4 linked regions of the Anolis sagrei genome follow. The main gene of each other region encodes a partner of the protein of the gene in region 4 in a complex. Links are inferred from orthologs where the notes say so. Each region holds a gene or a part of one and is shown on either strand. Other genes may lie near its edges. The genes, in order: UPF2, CASC3, RBM8A and UPF3B.

Evidence for each region.
Region 1: the proteins of UPF3B (region 4) and UPF2 are in contact, whole or in part, in a crystal structure (PDB 7NWU), measured with the Homo sapiens proteins. The link is inferred for Anolis sagrei from reciprocal best matches to the Homo sapiens genes UPF3B and UPF2. Residues at the interface, in NP_542199.1 of Homo sapiens: Lys52, Arg56, Arg57, Tyr79, Glu81, Phe83, Asn85, Asp86, Thr87, Ser88, Leu89, Tyr90, His92, Tyr94, Arg96, Tyr98, Ile130, Glu132, Pro135, Phe136, Lys138, Ala139, Ala140, Arg147, Asp148, Lys150, Val151, Gly152, Thr153, Ile154; in NP_056357.1 of Homo sapiens: Lys767, Arg768, Pro769, Pro770, Leu771, Glu773, Tyr774, Lys777, Lys790, Arg793, Gln794, Arg796, Lys797, Leu798, Pro799, Trp800, Gln801, Cys811, Ile814, Asn815, Trp817, Tyr837, Gln838, Glu839, Asp840, Ile843, His844, Val846, Asp847, Gly848.
Region 2: UPF3B (region 4) and CASC3 share a complex: the UniProt entries of both Homo sapiens proteins name them as parts of the mRNA splicing-dependent exon junction complex. The link is inferred for Anolis sagrei from reciprocal best matches to the Homo sapiens genes UPF3B and CASC3.
Region 3: UPF3B (region 4) and RBM8A share a complex: the UniProt entries of both Homo sapiens proteins name them as parts of the mRNA splicing-dependent exon junction complex. The link is inferred for Anolis sagrei from reciprocal best matches to the Homo sapiens genes UPF3B and RBM8A.

The regions. Positions count from the first base shown.
Region 1 is NC_090025.1:90,733,964-90,741,018, reverse strand, and holds the start of UPF2 (regulator of nonsense transcripts 2), read right to left. Parts: upstream 3,014-7,055; 5' UTR 2,918-3,013; intron 1-2,917. UniProt on the Homo sapiens protein: Involved in nonsense-mediated decay (NMD) of mRNAs containing premature stop codons by associating with the nuclear exon junction complex (EJC).
Region 2 is NC_090026.1:40,429,101-40,435,969, forward strand, and holds the start of CASC3 (protein CASC3), read right to left. Parts: upstream 3,006-6,869; 5' UTR 2,894-3,005; coding exon 2,627-2,893; intron 1-2,626. UniProt on the Homo sapiens protein: Required for pre-mRNA splicing as component of the spliceosome. Core component of the splicing-dependent multiprotein exon junction complex (EJC) deposited at splice junctions on mRNAs.
Region 3 is NC_090032.1:21,384,517-21,391,956, forward strand, and holds the start of RBM8A (RNA-binding protein 8A), read right to left. Parts: upstream 3,019-7,440; 5' UTR 2,927-3,018; coding exon 2,860-2,926; intron 1,472-2,859; coding exon 1,412-1,471; intron 1-1,411.
Region 4 is NC_090030.1:3,214,473-3,222,290, forward strand, and holds the start of UPF3B (regulator of nonsense transcripts 3B), read right to left. Parts: upstream 3,017-7,818; 5' UTR 3,002-3,016; coding exon 2,726-3,001; intron 748-2,725; coding exon 641-747; intron 488-640; coding exon 381-487; intron 1-380. Other genes in the region: NDUFA1 (NADH dehydrogenase [ubiquinone] 1 alpha subcomplex subunit 1), read left to right, coding at 3,925-4,026, 6,245-6,334. UniProt on the Homo sapiens protein: Involved in nonsense-mediated decay (NMD) of mRNAs containing premature stop codons by associating with the nuclear exon junction complex (EJC) and serving as link between the EJC core and NMD machinery.

The sequences.
Region 1 (7,055 bases), on a different chromosome or scaffold from region 4:
CCCCTCAACAAAGGATTTCCCCAGTCACTAATAAGACACATCTAAAAATTGTCAGGCCATCAAATGCCAATCAAAGTGGTCAGTTGAAACATTCACACCTAGCTCCAACTGACAAGAGTTCTTTGTCCCACCCTGGACATTTCACAGATATATAAATCTAATTTTCCTAGTTCCAACAGACCTCACAACCTTTGAGGATACTTGCCATAGAGGGAGGTGAAACATCAGGAGAGAATGCCTCTAGAACATGGCCATACAGCCCGAAAAAACCTACAACAACCCAGAGGATTATCTGCCTTGATATTTACACATTATCTGCTTTGATCTAGAATATATGGCAGTGTGGACTCAGGGTCCTACCACACAGCCCTGTATCCCAGAATATCAAGGCAGAAAATCCCACATTATCTGAATGTGGACTCAGATAACCCAGTTCAAAATGGATATTCTGGGATATCACTCCTCTGTTTCGCCAGCTCCACTGGCTGCCGATTAGCTTCCGGGCACAATTCAAAGTACTGGTTTTAACCTTTAAAGTCCTGAACGGTTCTGGCCCAGATTACCTCTCCGGACGTATCTCCTGCTATGAACCATCATGAAGCTTAAGATCATCAGGAGAGGCCCTGCTCTCGATCCCATCACTCTCGCAAACGCGGTTGGTGGGGACAAGAGATAGGGCCTTCTCGGCAGTGCCCCCCCCCCCCCCCGGTCTGTGGAACTCTCTAAGGATATCAGGTTGGCTACCTCCCTCCTGTCCTTTATAAGACAACTGAAGACCTGGCTCTGGGGTCAGGCGCTCGATTAGAGGCCAGCGACAATAGGAAAAGGAAATTTGGATTTTGCGATATGGATTCTCCCAGCTCGGCTTGGTTTTATTGGCATGTTAATCTATTAATTTATTGTTAAATTTTACTGATGATGTTGTATAATGTTTTAAAATGGTTTTATTGTGAACTAGCTGTCTCCTGCCACGCACTGCTGTGGTCCACATGGGGGTTCTGTGTGGGAGGTTTGGCCCAATTCTATCGTTGGTGGGGTTCAGAATGCCCTGTGATTATAGGTGAACTATAAATCCCAGCAACGACAACTCCCAAACTTCAAGATTCTATTTTCCCCAAACTCCACCAGTGTTCACATTTGGACATATTGAGTCTTTGTGTAGAGTTTGGTCCAGATCCATCATTGTTTGAGTCCACAGTGATCTCTGGATATAGGTGAACTACAACTCCAAAACCAAAGGGCACTGCCCACCAAACCCTTCCAGTATTTTCTGTTGGTCATGGGAGAACTGTGTGCCAAGTTTGGTTCAATTCCATCATTGGTGGGCTTCACAATGCTCTTTGATTGTAGGTGAACTATAAATCCCAGCAACTACAACTCCCAAATGACAAAATCATTTTTTTTTTAGTGAAGGACATACATTGGGTTGTTAGGTGTCTTGTGTCCAAATTTGGTGTCAATTCGTCCGGTGGTTTTTGAGATCTGTTAATCCCACAAACGAACATTACAGTTTTATTTATATAGAAGATTGTAATTTTTATGGTATTTATGCTGTTAGCGTCCTCTGATGCTCATGTGAGTTCATGCTCCCTTGTGGGGAGAAGAGCGGGATATAAATATATGAAATAACAACAACAACAACAACAACAACAACAACAACAATAATATAGCCAATGGAGCTCCTGTTTAAGGAGGTCCACTGGCTGCCGTTCATTTTCTGGTCCCAATTCAAGGTGCAGGTTATTACCTACAAAGCCCTGAATGGTTTGGGACCCAACTACCTATGTGACCAAATCTCCTATCACAAACCTGCACGATCTCTTCAATCCGCTGAAGAGGCCCTTTTCTCGCCCCTTCCTCTATCACAGACTCGTCTTATGGGAACAAGGGAGAGGGCCTTTTCTGCTGTGGCCCCCCGCTTTTGGAATTTGCTGCCTAAGGAGATCAGACAACCCCCCACCCTAGCTGGTTTTAAGAAAGACCAAAAAACCTGGCTCTTCCGTTGTGCTTTTGGAGAACGACCATTCAACCCATCTGGTTGTCTTAGTCTACAGCTGCCCTCAGAATAAAGCATCCCACCCTCTATTGCCAAAATCCCCCCAATGGCTAAATCCCATGGTTCCTCCCTATTCGGCTCCTTTCCTACAAATGCACTTTTATCCCTATCTCACCCAGGGTTTTAACTTTTTAACATTTTACCTCATACATTTGGCTCGCCCTCCGTGTCTGGTTTTAATATGCTGTTTTATATTGTTGATTTTGTTATTTTATATTTTGTTACTATGTATTTTGTTACTATGTGTTTATTATGTTGTATTATTTTGAGCTTGGCCTTATGTTAGCCGCACCGAGTCCCCTTTGGGGAGATGGTAGCGGGTTATAAATAAAGTGTATTATTATTATTATTATTATTATTATTATTATTACGCCGTGTGGAAGGACCCTGAGTCCATACTGCCGTATATTCCCGTTCTAAGCAGAAATGTGGGATTTTATACAGGTGTGGATGGGGCCTCGGCTAATACTAATAACAACTCCCAGGCTTCCCTAGTCTCGAGCCATAGCTGTTCAAATGTGTGTCAAACTGCATTCGTTCCCCAGTGCAGATGCAGTGACTCCCAACGGCCTTAGCAACGCGCGGGGTGAAACAGGAGCGGAATGGCTCGTTGAAAACACCCCAAACAAGTCCAGAACTCTTCCCAGCGCCCTGTCAAAGGGGTGTGATTGAGTTTGACGTGAGAAAGGGGGGCGAAAGCAGCGCGAACGAGGGCTGGCTCTGGGAGGGGGCGTCACTAGGCCTCCCGCCCTCCCGCTCCTCCTTCCGCGCCGTCGGGCCTCCCCGCTCTCCCCGCACCAGGAGGCCTCGCTTCCCCCGTGGCTCCACGCCGCCCAGAGCGGCCCGGCCGGGATTCGTTACCTCAGCCCGCGGTCCACATCGGTCCCAGCTTCTGCAGCTCCAGCTCCGCCAGTTTCTCTCTTCTGACACCCTCCTCCCTCCCACTCGCCACAGGACGAGGACCCCGCCCCCCAGGGTGGCCACGCCGCGCCTGCTCGGAAGCGCCCCCTCGCCGCTCGCCAGCTCCCTCTCCTCGGACTCAACGCGAGGAATAGAAATACACCTGCATAATCCGCTTTCGACGAAGTGGAACTGAAACCCCGCGTCTGGAAGGAAACGGGAATGGGGAGGGCGGCAGCGAATCAGGCAGTGCTCTGGACAGCTTCCGTTCAGGTAGGGTCCTGAGAGCGGGAGAGAGCAGGGCAACCCCGTGCTTTGGTTACCAGGGGAGGCGGAAGTGGCTGAGTGGCGCTCGCTCCTCCGCCCCTCCCTCTCCTCGCCCAACGCCTTTGGCTTTTCAAAACAATTCAAATCGAATTTGCGGTCAGGAGAACTCTGAGGCTGGATCTCTGTAATGCCATATAATCCAGCTCATAGATGAGCTGGATTAGATGGCAGTGAAGGCTCAGGGCCCTTCCACACAGCCATATAACCCAGAATATCGAGGCAGATAATCCATCATATCTGCTTTGAACTGGGGGCCCTGCCACACAGCTGTATAAAATCGCACATATCTACTGTGAACTGCAATACATGGCAGTATGGACTTAGATAACCCAGTTCAAAGCAGATAATAATAATAATAATACTTTATTTGTACCTCACTACCATCTCCCCAAGGGACTTGGTGCAGCTTACATGAGGCCAAGCCCGCAGTACATCAATAAAACGAAGGCAATAACAAAAATAATCAATACAAAACGGTAAAATAAATCTCATAAACAAAAATATCCGCAACAGTCCTTTCCAGGTCACGGCAGCAGACCATCCCATCAATGGACTGGATGCTGGACTCCGGCCTTTCGACTTGATTATCCCTTTTACCATCAAGAAAGGAGAGCTAACAGGTGAGGTGCGGATGCCATCTGGCAAGGTAGCAAAGCCAGACACCACAGAGAACAAGGATGGCACCATGACGGTGCGCTATGCACCCACAGAAGCTGGCTTACATGAGATGGACATCCGCTATAACAATATGCACATCCCAGGCAGTCCCCTTCAATTCTATGTCAGCTATGTCAACAGTGGCCATGTGACTGCCTATGGGCCAGGTCTTATCCATGGAGTAGTCAACAAGCCTGAGTCTTCACTGTCAATACAAAAGATGCAGGAGAAGGTGACCTCTCTCTGGCCATTGAAGGCCCCTCTAAGGCTGATATTGGCTGCACTGATAACCAGGATGGCACTTGTACCGTGTCCTATCTTCCAGTCCTGCCGGGTGACTACAACATCCTGGTGAAATACAATGACAAAACAAAAAATAAACAATAACATACAAGCATTTAAAAACCTATGGCCGGGCTAAATGTAATAATTTAAAATTTAAAAAATAATGCTGGGCATGAACAAGGTAGGGTATAAGCTAGGATAGGGTTTTCAAAGAAAGATGAGGGTGCGCAGACAATCCTAAATCAATACTGTGGATTATCTACCTTGATATTCTGGGTTATATAGCTGTGTCCGAAGACCCAAAGACCTCAATGGCAGAGGATAACATGGTACATGTTACAACAACTGTGAAGGCGGAAGAAGGCTGCAACAGATTGAGAGGCCACGGTCATTGTGTTAAACTACACCACCAGTGGAACCTCACTCTGTGAAGACTGTGTGTTGATCAGTTGTGCACTGACCTACACACATTTTAAAAAAACTCAAGCACAGGCATCTTCCAAAGAAAATAAAAACAAACAGAGGCACTAATGGAGGGTGAAAGAGATAAACGTGCCAGGAGGAAGGTGCGTCAAGCCAACCCCGACCGAGACCGCCTTCCACCTGGAAACCAATGCCCTCACTGCGGGAGAAGATGCAGATCAAGAATAGGGCTCCACAGCCACCTACGGATCCACAAGAATACTGATCATGAAAGACCATCCTACTCGTCCAACGAGGGATCGCCCAAGAAGAAGGATATATGGCTGTGTGTTATCCCTAGGTTATCTGAGCCCACACTGCCAGATAATTAATTATTATTTATTTTATTTACATCACTTATATCCCGCCCATATCAGCCCGCAGGCCACTCAGGGCGGTCTACATATCGGCACAATTCGATGCCATCAATACAATACAAAAGCAAAAACAATTAAGTGCATTTAGACAAAAAAGGCAGTGCAATAACAATTTAAAAAGAGCTATATCCTCTCAATCCAATCCTCATCCGTTTCATCGTCTTGGCCGTTCCTGGGTCATTCTCCATCTCAATCTTGACTATTCCGGGGTTCCGAATGCCTGCTCGAAGAGCCAGGTTTTCACTCTCTTACGAAAGGTCAGGAGGGAGGGGGCTGATCTAATATCCCTAGGCAAGGAGTTCCACAGCCGAGGAGCCACCACAGAGAAGGGTCAAAGGGACCTCTATGTGAGCCCTTCCACATATAACCCAGAATATTTGCTTTGAACTGGGTTATCTGAGTCCACACTGCCATATAACCCAGTTCAAAGCAGATCATTTATTTATTTATTTTCAGTTCAGTTGTGGATTTTATACAGCTGTGTGGAAGTCCCCTCAGATAATCCAGTTCAAAGCATCTGCATTCTGAGGCTCTTGATACGCTGCCATATAATCCAGATTATCCAATCAGATAATTCACATCTGTCTTGAATTGGAACCCCTTCTACACTGCCATATAATCCAGATTATCAAATCAGATAAGACACATCTGTTTTGAACTGGATTATATGAGTGTGTGGGAGGAGGGATGAAAAGACCACCTGTACATTACATTGTTTGAGCTTTGTTCCGAGAGCTTGAAAATCATTTATGATCTTTTGAAAAGTATGCCTAGCAGTATCATTGGTTCCTACATGAGGGGAGGACGGTGATGGGGCTTGAGGAGCCTGGTGAGCCTCGGAGTGATTATGGTGTATTTTTGCCCCCAGTAGGCAGCATATTTCTCGAGCCATCCCATCTGGTCTGGAAATGACGGCTTCCATTCCTCTAAGGAGGGAGTCGCCCACTACCAAGACCTGTTTACTTTCAGGATTGACAGGGTCCCTTTTGTGCAATGTAGTGTGTAGGTCCCCAGAAAAGTGATCCTGTTGATGTGAATTGTGTAGGTGTAAAGTGTTGTTCTCCTCCTCAACATCCCCGGTGCATTCGTCAAGGACAATCCATTGAGATTCATCCAAGAACCTATCGTTCTCCTGTATGTGTTCCTGTTGCACCTGGTCTATGGCTGGGGATGGTACACCTGCACGATTGTGTAAGTGTGAATGTTGTGAAGTGTTGTCCCAGTCAGGGCTATCCCTCGCACACTGATCAAGGACCAGCCACTGATCAGTATCTAAGCCATTCTGGTCTTCCCCAATATGTTGTGTTTCTTGGTCAAGTGATAGTTGTGTGAGAATTTGGAATCTATTATGTAACTGCAGTTGGGCAGAGGTATTCTGAGGAGTCTTCCGGGTCCTATGTTTCTTTCTAAGGGTGACATGCCTCCAAGCTTGAGGGTTGTCCACATCTGAGGTGATCTCCTCTTGAGCTTCCCCATAATGTTGGTGTGCTATGGGCTGCGTGTCTAGGACAGTGTGGTGTGTGGTGTCTAAGAACAGCTCAAGTTCCTGAATGTCCTTAAGGGTCTTAATACGGTCCTCAAGTTGTTGGATCCTCTGTTCCATGTGAGTGATCTGTTTACACTTGGGGCAGATGTAATTGAGTAATTGTTGTGTGAAAAGACAGCCTATCCCAGCTGCTTGAGACTGTGTCAGAGTGGTCCTTGAGGTTCCCCAGACTTATCGTTTTGAGGGATTTCAATGTCCACGCTGATGCAAACTCTTGTTCATTAGCGGCTGTGGACCTAGTGTCTACCATGGAGACACTAGGACTCTCGCTTTGTAGTACTGGGCCCACGCACCGGGCGGGACACACGCTAGATTTGATTTTCAGCGCAGGAATTCAAGTGACCCAAGCCTCCACAATAGAGGTTCCATGGTCGGATCACTGCGCCCTGAGAGTCCGGTTGGAGCATGCCTACCCACGTTGCAAGGGCGCCGAGCCAATTTGGGC
Region 2 (6,869 bases), on a different chromosome or scaffold from region 4:
ATGCTACAGCAGCTCCACTGGCTGCAGGTCTGATTCCTGGCGAAATATAAAGGGCTGGTTATCACCTATAAAGCCCTAAATGGTTCGGGCCCAGATGATTTGAAAAACTGCATCTCCATATACAAACCACCACAAGCATTGCGGTCCATGGAGGAGGCCTGCTCTTGGTCCTACCCCCGTCTCAAGTATGGTTGGTCAGGTCAAGAAACAAGGCCTTCTCCTTGATCGCCCCCCACCACTGGAAATCCCTCCCCAAAGAAGTAGAAATTCTCTCTTTTACAAAGCTTCTTCTTTTCTTTTTATGTCAGGAGCAACTTGAGAAAGTGCAAGTCACTTCTGGTGTGAGAGAATTGGCCGCCTGCAAGGACGTTGCCCAGGGGACGCCAGGATGTTTTACCATACTGTGGGAGGCTTCTCTCATGTCCCCATCTGAGAAGCTGTAGCTGATGGAAGCTCACTCAGCTCCCCGGATTCGAACCGCTGACCTTTTGGTCAGCAGTCCTACTGATACACGGGTTTAACCCACTGCGCCACTGGGGGCTCCTTAAAAACCTATTTATGCACTTTAGCGTATGGAAAGGATCAGTAATACATTTTAGTTATGTACTCTCGTTTAGCTACTGGAAAGCTACCTCAGCCCTGTTGGTTGCAGTAAACCACCCAATATTTTAATGCCTTTTAGCTGCTGGTAAATGTGTGAAATGTGATGTATTACATTTATTTAAGTTCTTACTTTTTGGTTATTATTGGTTAGCCATAAGTTTTATTTATTATGTTGATTGATTTGTTGTTTTGTTTTATTATGGCACTGAATGTTTGCCACTTTTGATGGAAACTAACCTGAGGCCCCTCGAGGGGCTGGGGCAGGTTATAAATAAAACTTTATTATTATTATTATTATTATTATTATTATTATTACTATTATTACTACTACTAACTAGTCTTTAAACATAAACCTGAATTTTAATGCATGCCCTTTAATTTGTTGTCTGTTTTCATATATATTTCATTTGTTGTTTGTTTTATTGTGGCATTGAATATTTGCCACTTTTGATGGAAACCTCCCTGAGTCCCCTCAGGGAGCCAGGGCAGGTGACCGCATTTCTGTGTATAAACCCACACGATCTCTTCGTTCATCTGGGGAGACCCTGCTCTCGCTCCCAACTCCCTCGCAGGCGCGATTGTTGGGGATGAGGGATAGGGTCTTCTCCATGGTTTCCCCCCCCCCCCCACTCTAGAACTCACTCCCCAAGAATATCAGACAAGCCCTCACATTGGCAGTCTTTAGGAGGAGCCTGAAAACGTGGCTGTTCCAGTGTGCCTTCTCTGAATAAAGGAAACAATCCCCTGCAAAGTACCCTGAGAAGCACTTTAATTACCCATTGGGTTGTTCTCTACTTTTCGTTTAAAACTCCCCTACTAGTTACATCCTCTGTTCATGTCCAGCATTTATTTTTAAAGTTTTAACTATTACATCTGGCCCTGCCATAGATTTTTAAATTCTTATGTGTTATTGTCTACCTGTGAGTTATATTAACTGTATTGTTTTTTTGTTTATTGCTTGTTGTTTTTATTATTGCTTGTTGTTTTTGATGTGTTGTTAGGCTTCGCCTCATGTAAGCTGCTCCGAGTCCCTTGGGGAGATGGTGACGGGGTATAAAGTTTTATTATTACTACTATTATAAATAAAACCTTATTATTATTATTACCTAGTCTTTAAACATAAACCTGAATTTTAATGCATGCCATTTGTTTAATTTGCTTTGTCTGTTTTCATATATATTTCATTTGTTGTTTGTTTTATTATGGCATCAAATGTTTGCCACTTTTGATGAACACTGCCCTGAGTCCCTTCGGACAGCTAGGGTGGGTATAAATAAAACCTTATTACTATTACCTAGTCTTTAAACATAAACCTGAATTTTAAAGCATGCTCTTTGTTTAATTTGTTCTGTCTGTTTTCATATATATTTCATTTATTGTTTGTTTTATTATGGCATCAAATGTTTGCCACTTTTGATGGGAGTCCTCTCGGGGAGCTAGAGCAGATTATTACATTATTATTACTAAAACATTATTATTACCTAGTCTTTAAACCTAAACCTGAATTTTAATGCATGACCTTTGTTTAATTTCCTTTGTCTGTTTTCATATATATTTCATTTGTTTGTTTTATTATGGCATCAAATGTTTGCCACTTTTGATGAAAACTGCCCTGAATCCCTTCGGACAGTTAGGGTGGGTATAAATAAAAACCTTATTATTATTATCTAGTCTTTAAACATAAACCTGAATTTTAATGCATGCCCTTTGTTTAATTTGTTTTGTCTGTTTCCATATATATTTCACAGCGATATGTTTTGGTATGTAACTTTTATGGTGGTATGTGTATTTGTAGTGTTTTGCTGTGCTTATATGTTTTAATTGTTTTGCAACCCGCCTTGAGCCATGAGGAGAGTGGGTAAGAAGCAAAATTATTATGATTATAATTATTCTGGGTTATCTGGCTGTGTGGAAGAGCCCCAAGGCCTGAGGAGGCTTGAAACCTCAGAGCGCTTCAAACTGCGGCCTAGTGCAAGGCCCAGTCCCTCACGGAGCCTTCCCTCTCCTCCGCCCAGGTACTCACACACTCCGAGTCGGCCGGGCTTCCTCCCGCCGTCAGAGCCGCCTCCACGTTTTCAGGACCGGCGGAGGTAGGAACAGCAGTGGCGGCGACGGCAGTAACAACAACCGCGGTGCCTCCACCGCCTGCATTGCTAGCGTTGGCCGCGGAGCCGGCGAGTCCGAGGCGGAGGGCGCCCCTCGGCGAAGGGGCCGCGCTCCCAGGCGGCGAGTCCGACTCGTCCTCCTCACTGCTGTCCTGGGAAGCGCGCTGCCTCCTCCGGTCCGCCATCTTGACGAGAAGAAACAAGAAGCGAAACGGTTAGGGAAGAGGAAGAGGAGGGGGCGGAGCCCAAAGGGATGACGGGTAACGAGCAAGGCGCGCGCCCACCAGCTCCCAACTTCCGACACGCAGCGCGCGCGCGCGAGACACGTTTCGATGCCTCCCCTTCCCCCCAGAATTCTTTGCGAAGAACAAAAAATAGGATTAAAGACAAAAGGGGAGGAAAGGAAGACAGCGGCCAATGGAGGCGCTGTGGAGCAATGACGTCACGGCAAACTGCTCTTCAGTGGGCGGGCCGAAGGACGCCTCGGCAACAGGGTCACGTGCTTCTCGAAGATTGACACCTCCCCCTCTTCCCCCCCCTACTGCCTCGACGCTTTCCCACTGCGACGGTGATGTCATTGTTGTTTATCCTGCAGGACTGAAAGCGTAGAGGCAGGGCGTTGCACAGGCTTCGGAGGGAATGAAAAGGGTAAACCGGCCGCATGGAGAAAAACAGGTTGGACACAGCCCTTAGCCAGAATTCCGAAAGCCAAAATAATTCAAGCAAGGCTGCATGGACACTGTAGAATCAATGCAGACCCATACCGCTTTAATTCCCAGGGCTCAGTGCTGTGGAATTGTGGGATTTGTAGTTTGATGAGGTTGGCAGAGCTCTTTGACACTGAGCCATAGTCATTAATGGGTGTCAAACTGCATTGATCTCACAGTGTAGATCAGGCTTGGGCAAACTTCGGCCCTCCAAGTGTTTTGGACTTCAGCTCCCACAGTTCCTAACAGCTGGCCAAAGTTTGCCCATGCCTGGTGTAGATGCACTCACTGACACCTTTGCTTTCTGGTGGCAAAATGTACACAAACTTTGTTTCATGCACAATTGAATACATTAACCTTCAAGCTATGCATGTAAGGCAGGCATAGGCTAACTTCGGCCCTCCATGTGTTTTGGACTTCAACTCCCACAATTCCTAACAGCCGGCCAAAGTTTGCCCATGCCTGGTGTAGATGCACCCACTGACACCTTTGCTTTCTGGTGGCAAAATGTACCCACACTTTGTTTCATGCACAATTGAATACATTAACCTTCAAGCTATGCATTTAAGGCAGGCATGGGCCAACTTCGGCCCTCTAGGTGCTTTGGACTTCAACTCCCACAATTCCTAACAGCCGGCCAAAATTTGCCCATGCCTGGTGTAGATGCACCCACGGACACCTTTGCTTTCTGGTGGCAAAATGTACCCAAACTTTGTTTCATGCACAATTGAATACATTAATCTTCAAGATATGCATTTAAGGCAGGCATGGGCCAACCTCGGCCCTCCAGGTGTTTTGGACTTCAACTCCCACAATTCCTAACATCCAAAGTTTGCCCATGCCTGGGGTAGATGCACCCACTGACACCTTTGCTTTCTGGTGGCAAAAGGTACCCAAGCTTTGTTTCATGCACAATATTATTAAAAATATTGGATAAATGTACCTTCAAGCTATGCATATTAAGGCAGGCTATGGGGCAACTTCGGCCCTCTGGGTGTTTTGGACTTCAACTCCCACAATTCCTGTGGGAGTTGAAGTCCAAAACACCCGGAGGGCCGAAGTTGCCCCATGGCCTGCCATAGCACACATAAATTTTGCGGCCCATCTCCAAGATATCTCATTATGCAAGTAATGGTGTTCCAAAACCCAAAACACTTTTCCCAAGAATTTCAGATAAGGGATGGCCAACCTGTAATGCAAAAGCGGGTGAGCCTGCAGTGGCATGCTAGGTCCAGGAAGCTGGTGGAAAATACAAACCCAGTTATACTGCATGCTGGAACAATATTTTTGTTTATTTAAAGTGACTTAGGTTATAAGGCTCAACTAACATTAACCATAACAACCATTCGCCTTCCTATTATCTACCCAATCTCATTACCTAGGAAAAACCGGTTGCCACTTGTAGAAAAGAAAAAAAATGAAGAGAAACCTGGCACTGAAAATGATATGCAAAAACAGTATAATTTTGAAATAGTCTATCAACTGGGTTAACATGAACCAAGTCTAATCATAAAAGTTAGAACATAAAAAGGAGCTTGGCTGGATCACATCAAAGACTAGCCCAGTCCAGTATCATGTTTACCCACTATCTAAACAGATGCTAATAAAAAGTCCAGAGTCAGGACACAAGGACAGTGTTTCTTTTCCCAGCAAATGCATGCTACCAAAGGACATGGGAGGCCCATCAACAGGTGCATCTACACTGCAGAATTAATATAGTTTGCTACAGAATCCTGGGAGCTGTAGATTGGAAAATCAGCAGCACTATTGGGCAGAGAAGGCTTAAGTCCTTGCATAGTTACATCTCCAATGATTCCATAGCATTGAGCATGGCAGTCAAAGTGGTGTCAAACTGCAATAATACTAGAGTGCAGATCAGGGGTCCTCACACTTTTTAAACAGGGCCAGGTCACAGTCTCTCAAACTGCTTGAGGGCCAGATTATAATTTGAAAAAAACATGAATGAATTCCTATGCACACTGCACATATCTTATTTGTAGTGCAAAAAACACTTAAAAACAATACAATAATTAAAATTAAGAACAATTTTAACAAATATAAACTTATTAGTATTTCAATGGGAAGTATGGGCCTGCTTTTGGTTGATGGGATGGGATGGGATTGTAGTTGTTGTTGTTGTGTGCTTTCAAGTCGTTCCAGACTTAGGTTGACCCTGAGCGAGGGCTGGGTAAATGACCTTGGAGGGCCGTATCCGCCCCCCCCCCCCCCCCGGGGCCTTAGTTTGAGGACCCCTGGTGTAGATACACCCAACATCTTTAGGTACTATTCATAAACCCCTGTAGAATAAGGGCAGTGCTTTTAACGCCATAGTTGTAGGAATCGGGTACCTTTGTCTGTTTTGAATCAATACAGCTTCACTTTTTTTTTTTTTTGGTCGTGTCAGGAGCGACCACTCCTGTAGTGAGAGAACTGGCCGTCTGCAAGGACGTTACCCAGGTGACGCCCAGATGATTTGATGTTTTATCATCCTTGTGGAAGGCTTCTCTCATGTCCCTGCATGAGGAGCTGGAGCTGATAGAGGGAGCTCATCCGCCTCTCCCCGGATTCGAACCTGCGACCTGTTGGTCTTCAGTCCTGTTGGCACAGGGCTTTAACCCACTGCGCCACCGGGCAGCTTCACTGAAGAGCTGCATATCTAACATCGTTATTCCTGTCCACTTTTTTCACAACATGCATCATTTTATGGTGTCTGTCATGCCCCTTTCTTTTCTATGCTGAAAACCCCCATAGACTTTCTCTAAGATCAACACATTCAGCTACCACATTTTGCCTTTTACTGCTCTAGATGTGTTGTGGGTTTAAGATGAAACAAGCAGAATTTATTCTATATTCTATATGATGTTACACTATAGATGTTTATGACAAGGTTCAGCACTATTTTTTTCTAAACATCTGCAACATGGAATTTGTCCTTGCCACATGCAGTCTCGCAATTTTAGAATACTCTTTAAAAAGTATGCCTAAAACCAATTCATGCACTTTCGCTTTTTTGTTTTTCCAGTCTTGTAATTTTCCTTTTATTGTTTTGCTTTTGATAATATCAGTATGTATGCTTTGTTAAACCAACTTAGCTATAATAATGTTGAAAGGGAGGACAGATACTGCTTCCTGCCCCCCCCCCCAAAAAAAACCCCACAAATTTAAATGGTCCTGGCTGCCTTTTCTAGACTCAAAAACCACCATGTCTCAAAGACACAGGGCCCTTGTGCAAAACCGCAATGATGGCATTCTCATTTGCAAGTTCAACCTGTTCCATTTAAATGTTCCTATGATTGGCTGTATCGTTTCTACTGCAGAAAGTAAATTTTCCTTTTTTAGGCAAAGCATGACATACAATACTATTTCCAGAGCTGCTGCTGGGAATGAGTCACTCTATTGTATATATTTTGATACTACATTTAAAAAAATACAGGTCTACTGTTACTTTCTACCT
Region 3 (7,440 bases), on a different chromosome or scaffold from region 4:
ATCTTCTTACCTAATTGGATTTACCTATTCCTTTAAAGTGCTTTTTACTTAGGTGCTTTTTACTTATCTGTATAAATCAAAATGTAATGTTCGTTTGTGGGATTAGCATAACTCAAAAACCACTGGACGAATGGACACCAAATTTGGTCACAATCCACTTATCAGGCCAACGAGTGACTATCACTCACAAAAACACTGGAAAACACAGCGGAAGGGACTTAAAAAATACATTACAACGCGTGCGCAAAACCACATATATACACATGTACACATATATACACACACAAAACACTTATACACAGACTGAGCCACAGCAACGCATGGCAGGGGACGGCTAGTTATGAATAATATCTCTCTTTTTCTCTTAGAGACTTACATTGGTGAAAAATAAAACATACAGCTTCAAAACTATTATTATATTATTTTAAACTTGCTTCTTCTTCGTAACATCTAGTGTTTTCGTACTTTAGAATGTACTTTAAAGCTCTCTCTTAAAAACAGACCCAAAGCAGCCAAAAACACACTACCGAAAACGTACAACCGCTAAGGTTACATAATAAACTAATATGATAATAATAGTAATTATTATTATTTTTTGTCATGTCAGGAGCGACTTGAGAAACTGCAAGTTGCTTCTGGTGTGAGAGAATTGGCCGTCTGCAAGGACATTGCCCAGGGGACGCCACCTAGATGATTGGATGTTTTTATCATCCTTGTGGGAGGCTTCTCTCCCACAATAATAATATAATATTATTAATAATATAATAAATAAATAAGATTATTATATGCAATATATTATTTTATGTGTGTTTGTGTGTGTGTATATATATATATATATATAAAATTTGTATTTTATTATTAATTAAATTTAATATGTAATTTTATGCATGTCTATCTATATTATTTATGTGTATCTATATTATTTATTATTATTTAATGCAATATATTATTATATAATAATAAAATAAGATTATTATATGCAATATATATTATTTTGTGTGTGTGTATATATAATTTGGATCTTAAATCTGTCTAATTTATTATTATTTAATAATAATGTTAATAATATATAATAAATATTATATGCAATATAATATATTATTTTGTGTGTGTTTGTGTGTGTGTGTGTATATATATATATATATAATATTATTATTTGTATTTTATTATTAATTAAATTTAATATGTAATTTAATAATAATAATATAATATTAATATTAATATGAAAATAATAATAATAATAATAGATGTATATATTTCCCACCCCAAAGTAAGGCACAGCATGGATCAAACTCAACACTATTTAATATAGGCAAGGTACGAACAGGATGAGTTTTGTAGGATTGCTATTAAGGTGAATTATTATTATCTTCATCATCATCACCATCATCATAAGGTTGAGTCGCCTTACCTGATCCGAAGCCTCGGCCTTTCCTTTTCTTTGCTTTTTCCTTCAGTTTGTGGATGCTTTCTGCAGAGAGACCACATAGAGTTTGATTAAACAACGGTCAAATTCACAAAACAACAACAACAACCACAGTAGGTGTATGTTAACATAGTTTATATACATAGATAAGACAGAGGAGCGCAAAGATATATATATATGTGTGTGTGTGTGTGTGTGAGAGAGAGGGAAAAAACATACAATGAAGGCTGATCACTTCTACAATTTAGGATACACATTATTATTATTATTATTATTATTATTATTATTATTGTATCCTGCTTGATCTCTCCATACGAAGAATCAAAGCGGTTCACAATCCAAAACATTACAACTTAATAAATTATATAGATGTAAATTTAAGATCCAAATTATATATATATACACACACAAAATAATATATTATATTGCATATAATCATCTTATTTTAATATTATATTATTAATATTATTATTAAATAAAAAATTATATAGACACAAATTTAAGATCCAAATTATACATATATATATACATACACACACAAAATAATATATTATATTTCATATAAAAATAATATAGATACACATAATAAATAATATAGATAGACACACATAAAATTATATATTAAACTTAATTAATAAAATAGAAATAATATTTTATTATTCACACACACAAACACACATAAAATAATATAATATATTGCATATAATAATCTTATTTATTTATTATATTATTAAATAATAATAATAAATTATATAGACACACATTTAAAATCCAAATTATATATATATACACAGACAAAATAATATATTATATCACATATAAAACTTATTGAATTACTATTAAATATTATTATTAAATTATATTAAATGATATAGACACAAAATTATATACACACACTATAATATATTATATAATGTATTGCATCAAATAATAATAATATAAATAGACACACATAAAATTATATATTAAATTTAATTAATAATAAAATACAAATAATATATTTATTTATTATATTATTGATATTATTAAATAATAAAAATATATAGACCCAAATGTAAGATCCAAATTATATATATATATATACAGATACACATAATAAATAATACACATAATAAATAATAGATAGATACACATAAAATTACATATTATTAAATTTAATTAATAATAAAATACAGATAAGAGATCTACACGCAAGAGAGCATTGTGTATATCTATTTATTTATCTATTTGTCCATCCATCTACACGCTACAGGCCGCAATAGGCGCTAAAGTAGTACTGGACTCCATTTCCCAGAATGCTCCACCGTTGCCGTGGCCGGCAAGAGCTTCTGGGGGATGTAGTTCGACGTCACTTCCGCTCAACCGGAGGCGACTAGGCCTCAGGCGGGCCCTAAATTAGTGAGGCCAGGGCCTGGCTTGGGCTGCTCACTCACCGTCGCCGTCCTCGTCCATGGCGAAGTCCTCTCCGCCGGCCTCGTGGAGGTCCAAGACGTCCGCCATCGCGAGGAGAGCCCGAAACACCGAAGAGTACGACACGACAGGCTCCGCGGCCTACTCCCACACAGCAAGAGAAGGAGCGTCTCTGCGCATGCGCACTCCCTTCAGCGCCAAAGGAAGGGGGCGGAGACGTCCAGAGGAGGTCGCCCAGTCGCGCCTGCGCAGAAACGCGGCGTCCCCCGCGCAGGCGCCATCTTGAGAAGGTCGTCGACGTGGATTTGTTGGTTTGTCCCAACAAGGTTCAAAAACGGCTGGGTGGATCCGGACCCCACCTGGCAGGCAAAGCCTTCGTGGTTGGACTTAAAAGAAGGGAAGGGTCTGGAGGTGGAAAGAGAAACGCTCTCTTGGTAGTTTCCGTTCTTAACGTTGAGCCTTCTGTAGGCCACCTCCCCCTGGACAGCAATGTATGCGGCAGGTACTGGCTCGTTCAGTAGACTCTCCTCTACAGTTTCATTTGGGCAGGAAGCCTTAGCATTGAACGGTTGTGTTGTTAAAGTGCAAAGTATGGAACCCTGCGCAAACAGTTGGTCAATGCGATGTAAGCAACGTATGCGGCAGGTACTGGCTTATTCAGTAGACTCTCCGCTACAGTTCCATTTTGGCAGGAAGCCCTAACATTGAACAGTTGTGTTGTTAAAGTGTGAAGTATGGAGCCCTGCGCAGACAGTCGGTCAATGCGACTTAAGCAATGTATGCGACAAGTACTGGCTCATTCAGTAGACTCTCCTTTACAGTTCCATTTTGGCGGGAAGGCTTAGCATTGAACGGTTGTGTTGTTAAAGTGCAAAGTATGGAACCCTGCACAGACGGTCGATCAATGTGACTTAAGCAACGTATGTGGCAGGTACTGGCTTGTTCAGTAGACTCTCCTCTACAGTTCCATTTTAGCAGGAAACCTTAGCATTGGACGGTTGTGTTGTTAAAGCGTGAAGTATGGAGCCCTGCGCAGACAGTCGGTCAATACGACTTAAGCAATGTATGCTGCAGGTACTGGCTTGTTCGGTAGACTCTCCTCTCTAGTTCCATTTTGGCGGGAAGGCTTAGCATTGAACGGTTGTGTTGTTAAAGTGCAAAGTATGGAACCCTGCACAGACGGTCGATCAATGTGACTTAAGCAACGTATGTGGCAGGTACTGGCTTGTTCAGTAGACTCTCCTCTACAGTTCCATTTTAGCAGGAAACCTTAGCATTGGACGGTTGTGTTGTTAAAGCGTGAAGTATGGAGCCCTGCGCAGACAGTCGGTCAATACGACTTAAGCAATGTATGCTGCAGGTACTGGCTTGTTCGGTAGACTCTCCTCTACAGTTCCATTTTGGTGGGAAGCCTTAGCATTGAACGGTTGTGTTGTTAAAGTGCAAAGTATGGAACCCTGCACAGACGGTCGGTCAATGCGACTTAAGCAATGTATGTGGCAGGTACTGGCTCGTTCAGTAGACTCTCCTCTACAGTTCCATTTTGGCGTGGAGCCTTAGCACTGAATGGGTAGTGTTGTTAATCATGCCCAGGGTGGGAGAAAGAACCCGTGTCTGTTTAAAGCAAGTGTGGATGTTGCAGTAAGCAAGTGTGGGTAGTGCTGAATAGATATCAGTGAGGGTATCTGCACAGAAGTAGTGAGGGAAGTGGAGTGTATATATCCCCGTGGAATGAAGTCCAGGGTGGGAGAAAGAACCCTCGTCTGTGTGAAGCAAGTGTGGATGAGAAAGCTTGAATAGCCTTGAGCAGCCGTGAAATTTGCAAAGTCAGTCAGAAAGGGTATTTGCATAGAGGTAGCAAGTGGAGTGTGTGTGTGTGTACACATACACACTAGGCATGTGCAATCTATGGTTCTAAAGTACTTACAAAACTAAAGTTCTGGTAGTGAAAACTAGGGGGCGCTGGTGCTTTGCTTTTACAGTGTTGGTAAAGTTGTGGTGGTGAAAATTTCAGAACTCTAACAAAAGTTTCAAAATTTCATAATAAATGGTAGATCCTAATTGGTTCTGCCATAAGGGGAGGGAAGAAAGAAAGAAAAAGAAGGAAAGTAAAGGAAGAGAAGGGAAAAAAAGGAGAAAATGGAGGGAGAAAGAAAAAAAGAGGGAACGAAGAGAAAGGAAAGGGGGAAGGTATAAGGGGTGGAAAGAAAGAAAGAAAAGAAGGGAAGGAAAGGAAGGAAAAAGGGAGGGAATTAAGAGAAAGGAAAAGGGTACGGTACAAGGGAAGGAAGGAAGAAAAAGGAAGGGAAGGGAAGGAAGAGAAAGGGGAGGGAGAAAAAAGGGAATGAAGAGAAAGGGAAGGGGGAGGTACAAGGGGAGGGAAGAAAGAAAGAAAAAGGGAAGTAAAGGAAAGGAAGAAAGAAAAAAAGGAGGGAATGAAGAGAAAAGAAAGCGGGAAGGTAGATGGGGAGGAAGGGAAGAAAGAAAAAGAAGGGAAGTAAAGGAAAGGACGTAAGAAAAAAGGGAGGAAAGGGAGGGAGGAAGAAAAAAGAAGGGAATGAAGAGAAAGGAAAGGGAGAGGTACAAGGGGAAGACAGAAAGAAAGAAAAAAAAGGGAAGTAAAGGAAGGGAAGAAAGAAAAAAAGGAGGGAATGAAGAGAAAAGAAAGCGGGAAGGTAGAAGGGGAGGAAGGGAAGAAAGAAAAAGAAGGGAAGTAAAGGAAAGGATGTAAGAAAAAAGGGAGGAAAGGGAGGGAGGAAGAAAAAAGAAGGGAATGAAGAGAAAGGAAAGGGAGAGGTACAAGGGGAAGACAGAAAGAAAGAAAAAAAAGGGAAGTAAAGGAAGGGAAGAAAGAAAAAAGGAGGGAATTAAGAGAAAGGGAAGGGGGGAGGTACAAGGGAAGGGAAGAAAAAAAAGGGAAGTAAAGGAAGGGAAGAAAGAAAAAAGGAGGGAATGAAGAGAAAAGAAAGAGGGAAGGTAGAAGGGGAGGAAAGAAAGAAAGAAAAAGAAGGGAAGTAAAGGAAGGGAAGAAAGAAAAAGGGGAGGAAAGGGAGGGAGGAAGAAAAAAGGAGGGAATGAGAAAGGAAAGGGGGAAGGTACAAAGGGAGGGAAGAAAGAAAAAGAAGGGAAGGGAGGAAAGGGAGAGAGAAAAAAGGAGGGAATGAAGAGAAAGGAAAGGGAGAAGGTACAAGGGGAGGGAAGAAAGAAAAAGAAGGGAAGGGAGAAAAAAGGGAGGAAAGGGAGAGAGAAAAAAGGAGGGAATGAAGAGAAAGGAAAGGAGGAAGGTACAAGGGGAGGGCAGAACGAAAGAAAAAGAAGGGAGAGAAAAAGGAGGAAAAGATGAAAAAGAAGGGAAAGATATGAGGGGAGGAGAAGAAGAAAAGGGAAATAACTGAGGAAAGAAAGAAAAAGGAAGGAAGAGAAATGAAAGACGGAAAGGCACAAGAGGAGGGAAGGAAAGAAAGGAAAAGAAGGGAAAGAGGGACGGAGTGAGAAGAACGAGAAACGAAGAGGACTAACGGCATATGAAGCAAAGCAACGGAAGAGGGAAAGAAAGGATGGAAAGAGCGAAGGGGAAAGCGTATGAAGAAAAGAACGAGCCACGCAGGATACGCTACTTTTATTGTACTTTTAAAAAATTACAAAAACCAGTACAGAACATCGTGAGAACAAAACCGGAGGCAACCCTTCGAGGGCCGTTTTGTAGTAAATGCGTTTATAAACATCAATACTGCAGTGTAAACAAAGTGCTATATAAAAATAGATACATATACTTTAATATATATATATATATAAAAGGTACAAGACTTATTTCCGGGACACGAATCGCAGGGGCCAAAAGTGTTTTCGCCCCTCAATTTTGGGAAGAGACTACGTTCCATTAGATCTCGGAAATTTTTCGTACGAAAATCCCTTTCTGAATGTAAACAAATCGGAAATTTTAGGAAATTTCCAACCAAATGAATTCGAATTTGTGCTTCTGGGGTTGTAACGCAGAGCCTATCTTCACTATGTGACTTTCCCTACAATTATGGATCCTATCCATTGAAGAATATAACACTTCCCTTCCATACGGTTTATGCACGAGATTCCTAAAAATTAGGCATTATATCCATAGCAAGAAACCAAAAACAAGGTTTTTTTCCTGGCAATGCTACACTTCCACTTAATACTGTACCTAGCCCCTCCCACTGGATATATATACTCGTCAAGGGGAGAGTGGGCGGGGCTACCACCTAAAAGTGTCTAGTAAGTTTTCTAGAAGATTCCGAACTGTCTGCGCAGGCGATACTATATGTGCGATTCACAGGGACCACGATGAGGAAAACTCATTGCAACAACGACTGAAATCTTTGCAAGTCCAAATTTGACGGAAGAAAGTATTGCAAAAATCTTTGCAAGTCCAGGTTTGAATAATGGGGAAAGGCGTTACAACAACAACTTTGTAAATTCAGCTTTGACGGAAGAAAGTATTGCAACAACGACTGAAATCTTTGCAAGTCCAAATTTGAACAAATGGGAAAAGTCATTGCAACAATGGCTGAAGTGGATCCGAGGTAATAGCCCCTCCTACTGGCTATATATACTCTCAAGGGGAGAATGGG
Region 4 (7,818 bases):
AAGAAGCAGCCATATCAAGCAAGTCTTGGTGTCCATTGTATGGGGCAGAAGTCATCCCCACTCTTCCTTATTTATTACATTTCCTAAAATCAGATGTTGCTACACCACACAATGGACCACACATTAATATGGATCCTTTGCTGTGAAGCTGGCTACATTTCCTCCCCACCCAAAGCCCTTTGCATGCGATCTCAGATGAGCAATGATCGGATTTTTCAAATTAAATTCTGGATGACACTGGCTCGGCACAGACCATGCAGGCAATTCTACCCCGTTTCTGGGCCTCTGGATTGACTGAATTATTTTCACCAATTTATGCCAATATATATTTGGACAAAACAGAGATATGATATACATAGCCAAGTTTCAGGCATACTTGCCTTTGTGATCAACAAAAACATAACCATCAAAGCGATCCCTGAACAGAACTATGTCTTCTTGGTTTTTAAAGTTGATGTATGCTCTGGAAAACATGTGAGGGTACAAACTGCAGAAGGACAGAAAATGGCAATGTATAAGGAAACGTCGCTGAGTGATGACTGTAAATATACCAAAACACAAGACGGGTGTAAAACTGAAAGACATAAATGACATGCCACCGTTACATGCAACACGGGCAGAGTTTGAAAGGCCCTCTCACCTGGTGTCATTAGCAAAGAACTCAAAGTAGTCGTGTTCCGGCAAAGGCTGGAGATGTTCTTCAAGCTGCTCCTTGGTTAGGCTGGGAGGGAGGCGGCGAATCACCACCTGCAAGAGGAAGTGTCGGTTTTTACAAACACCTTAATTTGTCAAATAAATTGTTCCAAACAACACTATGTAACACAATTGTCGTTCCTGGGTTGGGGCATTTCCTAACTGGTTCTCCCATAAAAACTGTTGGAATGTAAGCCCGAATTGAAAATCCATCTCTTCCGGTAGAAGGCCGACCCAGCCAACTTTCTATCATGAGGTTTGACTGACATTCCCTTGCTGCTTTATGTTGATTTTGAACCCTGTGTGCGGTGTACATTTTCATAATTATGTCTTTTTTCTCTTTATATTTTATTATATAAAAGTTATGTTCATAGGTTATTGACTTTGCTATACTCTGGGTAACAAAATATGTATTCTTATATTTATATTTTTATTATCATATTCTTAATATTATATTTCTAGTCTTATTATATTTTTGATTATAATGTTCTTACTATATTTTTATTCTTATTTTTTACTATATATCTATGGTTATTATATATTGACTGTATTCTTATATTTCTCTTATTACAGTATACATAAAACAAATTTATTATATTGAGTATGTTGAGTATGTTCTTATTCAATTTCTATTATTATTATAGTTTATTATTTATTAATTTACAACATTTATGTCACTCTTCTCACCTGAAGGGGACTCATTATAGATAAATCACATTTATTATAGGTTGATTATGATATATTCTTATATTTCTTTTCTTATTATAGTCTATATAAAACACATTATTATAGAATATTCTTATTCTATTTTACTCCTTACCATTCTTACTATAATTTTATTCTTATTATATTCTATATAAAACACATTTGTTATAGGTTAACTATATTCTTATTCTATTTCTCTTATGTTCTTATTCTATTATTACATATCTATTCTTACTATATTTCTGTTTTTATTGTATTCTGTATAAAACACAGTTATTATAGATTACCTACATTCCCATTCTATTTCTCTTCTTATCATTCTTATTCTATTATTATATTTCTGTTCTTATTATATTCTATATAAAATACATTTATTACAGATGAACTATATTCTTATTCTATTTCTCCTCTTTTCATTCTTATTCCATTACTACATATCTAGTCTTATCATATTTCTTTTCTTATTATATTCTATATAAAACACATTTGTTATAGGTTGACAATATTCTTATTTTATTTCTCTTCTTATTCTTATTCTATTTTTACATATCTATTATTATATTTCTATTCTTCTCATATTCTATATAAAACACATTCATGATAGCTTGAACATATTCTTATTCTATTTATCTTATCATTCTTATTCTATTACTACTTATCTGTTCTTATTATATTTCTGTTCCTATTACATTCTATATATACACATTTATTATAGCTTGAATATATTCTTATTCTATTTATCTTCTTATCATTCCTATTCTATTATTACATATCTATTCTTATTATAATATATATAAAACACATTTATTATAGCTTGAGCATATTCTTATTCTCTTATCATTCTTATTCTACTACTACTTATCTATTCTTATTATATTTCTATTCCTATTGTATTCTATATAAACACATTTATTATAGCTTGAGTATATTCTTATTCTATATCTCTTCTTATTCTATTATTATATTTCCATTCCTATTATATTCTACATAAATACATTTATAATAGCTTGAGTATATTCTTATTCTACATCTCTTCTTATCATTCTTATTCTATTATTATATTTCTATTCCTATTATATTCTACATAAATACATTTATTATAGGTTGAGGCAATTCTTAGTCTATTTCTTGTATCATTCCTATTCTGTTATTACATATCTATTCTTCTTATAATCTATAGAAAACACATTTGTTATAGGTTAATTCTATTTCTCTTCTTATCATTCTCATTCTATTACTGCATATCTATTCTTATTATATTTATATTCCTCTTACATCCTATATAAGACACATTTGTTATAGAATGACTATATTCTCCTCCCTTCACCTTGCTGAGGAGCTCCTTCTTGTCCCGGGGCCTGCTGTCGGGCTCCCCTCCGGCCTTGGCGTCCGCGCCCCCGCCCACCGCCAGGGCTCCCGCTCCGGAGGAGGAGGCGGCGCCGCCCCGCTTCTCTTTGGGCCTGGCGTTCTCCTTGCCTTCCTTCATCCTCAACGCCGCGCCAGCCAGAGCCAACAACAAGGCCCCGCTCGCCCGTCTTCCGCTCCGTCCCGCTCGCCCATTGGCCGCCGCTCCTCTCGCGAGAGCCTCTTCCCTCATCCCCATGGCAACAGAGCTGAGGAAGTGACGTCGCCGCGGAAGGCCGCAACGGTTTTTCCATCTCCATAGCAACAGCAGCGGCGGGGGAGGGGGAAGGGAGGGAGGAAAGCCTGCGCCTGCGCAGTTCCGCCCTGCCTTTTGGTAAGTCACAAAACCCTCCTCCCTCCGTCACAAGGAGGTGGAGAGAAAGTGGCGCCTGCGCAGTGCCGCACTCCCTCAGCCCCGCCTCCCTCTCACTCCCATTGGCCGCGAGAAATGTCTCTCTCCTCTATCCCCAGAGTGACAGCAGAGGAGGGAGGAAAGTTTGCGCTTGCGCAGTGCAGCCCTACCTCAGCTCCGCCTCCCGGTCACTCCCATTGGCCGCGAGAGATGTCTCTCTCTTCTATCCCCATACCGACAGTAGCAGAGCGAGGAAAGTTTGCGCCTGCGCAGTGCCGCTCTCCCTCAGCCCCGCCTCCCGCTCACTCCCATTGGCCGCGAAGGATGTCTATCTCCTCTATCCCCATAGCGACAGCAGAGGAGGGAGGAAAGTTTGCGCCTGCGTAGTGCCGCCCTCCCTCAGCTCCGCCTCCCGCTCACTCTCATTGGCCGCGAGAGATGTCTCTCTCTTCTATCCCCATACCCTCAGTAGCAGAGGGAGGAAAGTTTGCGCCTGCGCAATGCCACCCTCTCTCAGTCCCGCCTCCCGCTCCCTCCCATTGGCCGCGAGAGATGTCTCTCTCCTGTATCCCCATACCCACAGTAGCGGAGGGAGGAAAGTTTGCGCCTGAGCAGTGCCGCTCTCCCTCGGCCCCGCCTCCCGCTCACTCCCATTGGCCGCGAGAGACGTTTCTCTCCTGTATCCCCATAGCGACACCAGCGGAAGTGACGCCAGGACGGAAGAGAGGGAGAGAAGCTTTTTCTGCCCTTGCATTCCTGAGGAGAAGACGATGTGGTACGAGATCCTTCCCAGCCTGACGGTGATGTACGTCTGCCTGACCATCCCGGGCTTCTCCACCACCTTCATCCACAAGTACACCAACGGGGGCAAGGTCAGCCACACCGCCACGCTATCGCGCGTCTGTCCCGCTTGGGCCGCCCTGGAAACCTCCCGGGGAATTCTGGGACAGAATGGAGGGGAGGGAGGCAGGCAGGGAGGAGTCAGAGTAATAGAGAAATACATAATAATGAGGGATGTGAGTAAATACAGGATGGAGAATAGATATATGGAATAGGCATAAATACAAAATAATAATCATAATGCAGGATATGCATAAATACATCATAATGTAATTGTGGGGTATAAAGAAATACATAATAATAATATACATGCAATGTATTAGTACATAATATTATAATAATAATATATTAATATGTGATATTATATTAATATATAATAATATATTATAATAATAATATATTAGTACATAATGATTTAACGGTCATTTAAAAGTCCCTTGGCCACTGTACACGTACAGCTGTACCAGTTTCCTTTGCACTGAATGTTTGTTATAGTCATAAGTTTCAGGGACTCTGCAGATAGGTGGCTTCTTTTGGCTGCAATCATAGGGCAAGCCACCTGTCAATTATAGTTCGGTTCCCTGGTCGCGCCCCTTTTTGAGTTTTGGAGGGAATAGGAGCCTTTTTGGGTCAGTCCACACAGAGAAGCTTCCATGCAGGACATAATATCAAGAGCTCCTGTAGAAAGCTTCGTCTTCTACAGCTTGGCCGGGGAGATATACAGCCTACAGCTTGGCCGGGGAGAAAAGGCCCACAGCTTGGCTGAGGATTTTGCAAAGTTACAGCTCCTTTGCGGAGGGATTTCAGCCAGCCAACACAGCAACCTGAACTCCTTCTTTTCCCCTGGAAGTCTACAAAGCTCTGCTTGGTAAGGGTCGCTCGTGGAAGCCAGACGCAGTTGGTACCGGGTGCAGGGGCTCCACGCCAACAGAGGCAAAGACAGACTGCCCAGATTAGAAGTTAAGGATTTCCCCATTAGTTAGTATACAGTTATGAAGATAGTGCCTGTTCCCTATGGACAAGATTGAAAGAGCCTATAGACCGTTAAAAAAAGCTTTAAAGTACCTGTTTGTTTTAATCAATAAAGAACTTTGTTGGACTTACTTTAAGTCTCTACAGAACTTTGTTTTAAGGAAATCCAAGGGCCTTTAATCTGAGGCAGCCCCGGCATCCCGTTGGGCACTCAGAATTTATGTCCTGTCTACAGCCTTATGCACAGGCCCAGCGTGCGACAGCACAACCACATCATGAGAAGAAAGGAAAGCTTAGAGAAGATAATGATGCTGGGGGAAATGGAAGAAAAAAGGAAGAGGGGCCAACCAAGGGCAAGGCGGGTGGATGGTATCCTTGAATTCACGGGCTTAACTTTGAAGGAGCTGGGGGTGGTGACGGCCGACAGGGTGCTCTGGCATGGGATGGTCCATGAGGTCACAAAGAGTCTGAAGCAACTGAACAAATGAACAACAACAAAATTGTTGTGGGATATACATAAATACATCATAATTATAATGTAAATGTTAGATATAAATAAATACACAATATTCAGCCTTCAACCATAAATCTGTATAAATAAATATGTAATGTTCATTTGTGGGATTAATATATTTCAAGAACCACAGAAGGAATTGAGACCAAATTTGGACGCAAAACACCTATCAGGCCAACGTGACCATCACTCATAAAAACACTGGAAAACACAGCGGAAGGGACATAAAAGGCTCAAAAACAAAAAATACATTACAAGGCATGTGCAAAACCACATATATATAGGCAAGCACACATATACACAAATATATACACAGATATATACACACACAAAACACAGACTGAGCCACAGCAATGCATGGCTGGGGACAGCTAGTGCATAATAATGATAAATACGGGATATAAATAAATATAAATAAATACATAATAATTATCCTAATGTAAATGTTGGATATAAATAAATACACAATATTCAGGCTTCAACCATAAATACACAATAATTATAATATGGTGGATCTAAACTGTAGAATGAATACAAGTTTGATACCCTGTCTTGATATGATTCGAATTGTGGGGGTTGTCATTTTGCAAGGTCTTTAGCCTTCTCTCGTGCTTCTAACCCAAAGAAAAGGGCTGCATCTACCATCCTCTATTCCAGTTGTCTGGGGTTTTTTCCCCTTTTTATGTTGGATTATACGCTTATACATTTTATCCCTTTTCTCCTTGATTTTGACTTGTTTTTCCCAACCCTTTTGTGTGTCCCAGGAGAAGCGCATTGCCCGGAACACCTACCAATGGCACTTGATGGAAAGAGACAGGAGGGTTTCTGGAACCGACCGTTACTTCGAGTCCAAGGTAGATAATGAAAAGAAACATTAAAACGCCACATGTTTGCCTTGGTTGCAGAGAGGAGTTCTGTCTAAACTTCATAGTCTTCGTATTTAGTGACAGAGGGTTTTTAGCCTCTGTTTTTGAAAAAGAATGAATGCAATAAACAATACCTAGAGGAGCATTGAATAGTACAAAACAATCTAAAAACCTCTCTCTTCTAGCCAGTTTTAAGCATGAATTTGAAACTCTTGTCTCTGTTTTGTGTATTTTATAGAAATATATATTTATATATTTTATATAACTTGATTTTAATATGTGCGTTTAAAGAATGTTCGCAATGTTTGTGTGTTTTGACTGTGCTGTGACCCGCCTTGAGCCACTAGCCACAATAACAGTAATTATGATTATGAAATGTTATCAGATAAAATTCTCAGAACCTGATATTATTTCTAAGATAAAATTGTTGTTGTTGTTACTATTTATTTATTGTTTTAGAAATGAGCTGAGGGTACTCAACTCGTATTTAAAAACACAAAGTTTGCAACACTTGGCATTATGCTAAATGTCCTTTGACCAGTAGCTGACCACTTGGAATGCCTCTGGTGTTGCTATAAGAAGGTCCTCCATTGTGTATGTGGCAGGGCTCAAGCTGGATTGTAATAGGTGGTCAGTGGTTTGCTCTCCTCCACACTCGCATGTCGTGGACTTTGTGGCCCCATTTCTGAAGACTGGCTTTGTACCTCATTACTATTATATGTCATCAGATAATATTCTCAAATCCTGAGATTATTACTAAGATAAAATGATGGTGATGATTAAATGTTATTAGATAAAATTCTCATAGTCTGAGATTATTATTAAAATATTATTATTATTATTAAATGTCATCAGATGAAATTATCAGAGCCTGAGATTATTATTAAGATTATTGTTGTTGCTATTATGAAATGTTATCAGATAAAATTCTCAGAACCCTTTTTTTGTAAAACATTATTCTTAAGAGATTACCATTTTTACACTTTTCCATTTTGCTTTCCGTTCCGTTTCAATGATGGTTTTCCTCTTTTCGGAGCAGTCTGTCTGAAGGAGTAGCCTGATCAGATGAATGGGAAGCAGATAAAATCCTCTTATTTATTATTCATTTACGACATTTCTATGCTGCCCTTCTCACCCCGAAGGGGACTCAGAGTGGCTTACAAGATGTATATACATACAATATATTATATTATTATCATAGTACAATATCAGTATCATATATTATTATATTGTACTATACCATTATATTGTAATATTATCTGTAATATTATGTGTAATATAAAATATATTATTATTATAATATTGTAGTACATTATAATATAAATATTATAGGTATATACAAAATATTATATTATACCAGCTGTACCCACCACGCGTTGCTGTGGCCAACCTTCCCCGCCTTTTTCTCTCCTTCTTTCCCTCCTTCCTTTGCTCCTTCTTTCATTTATTTCTTCTGCTTTCTTCTTTCCTTC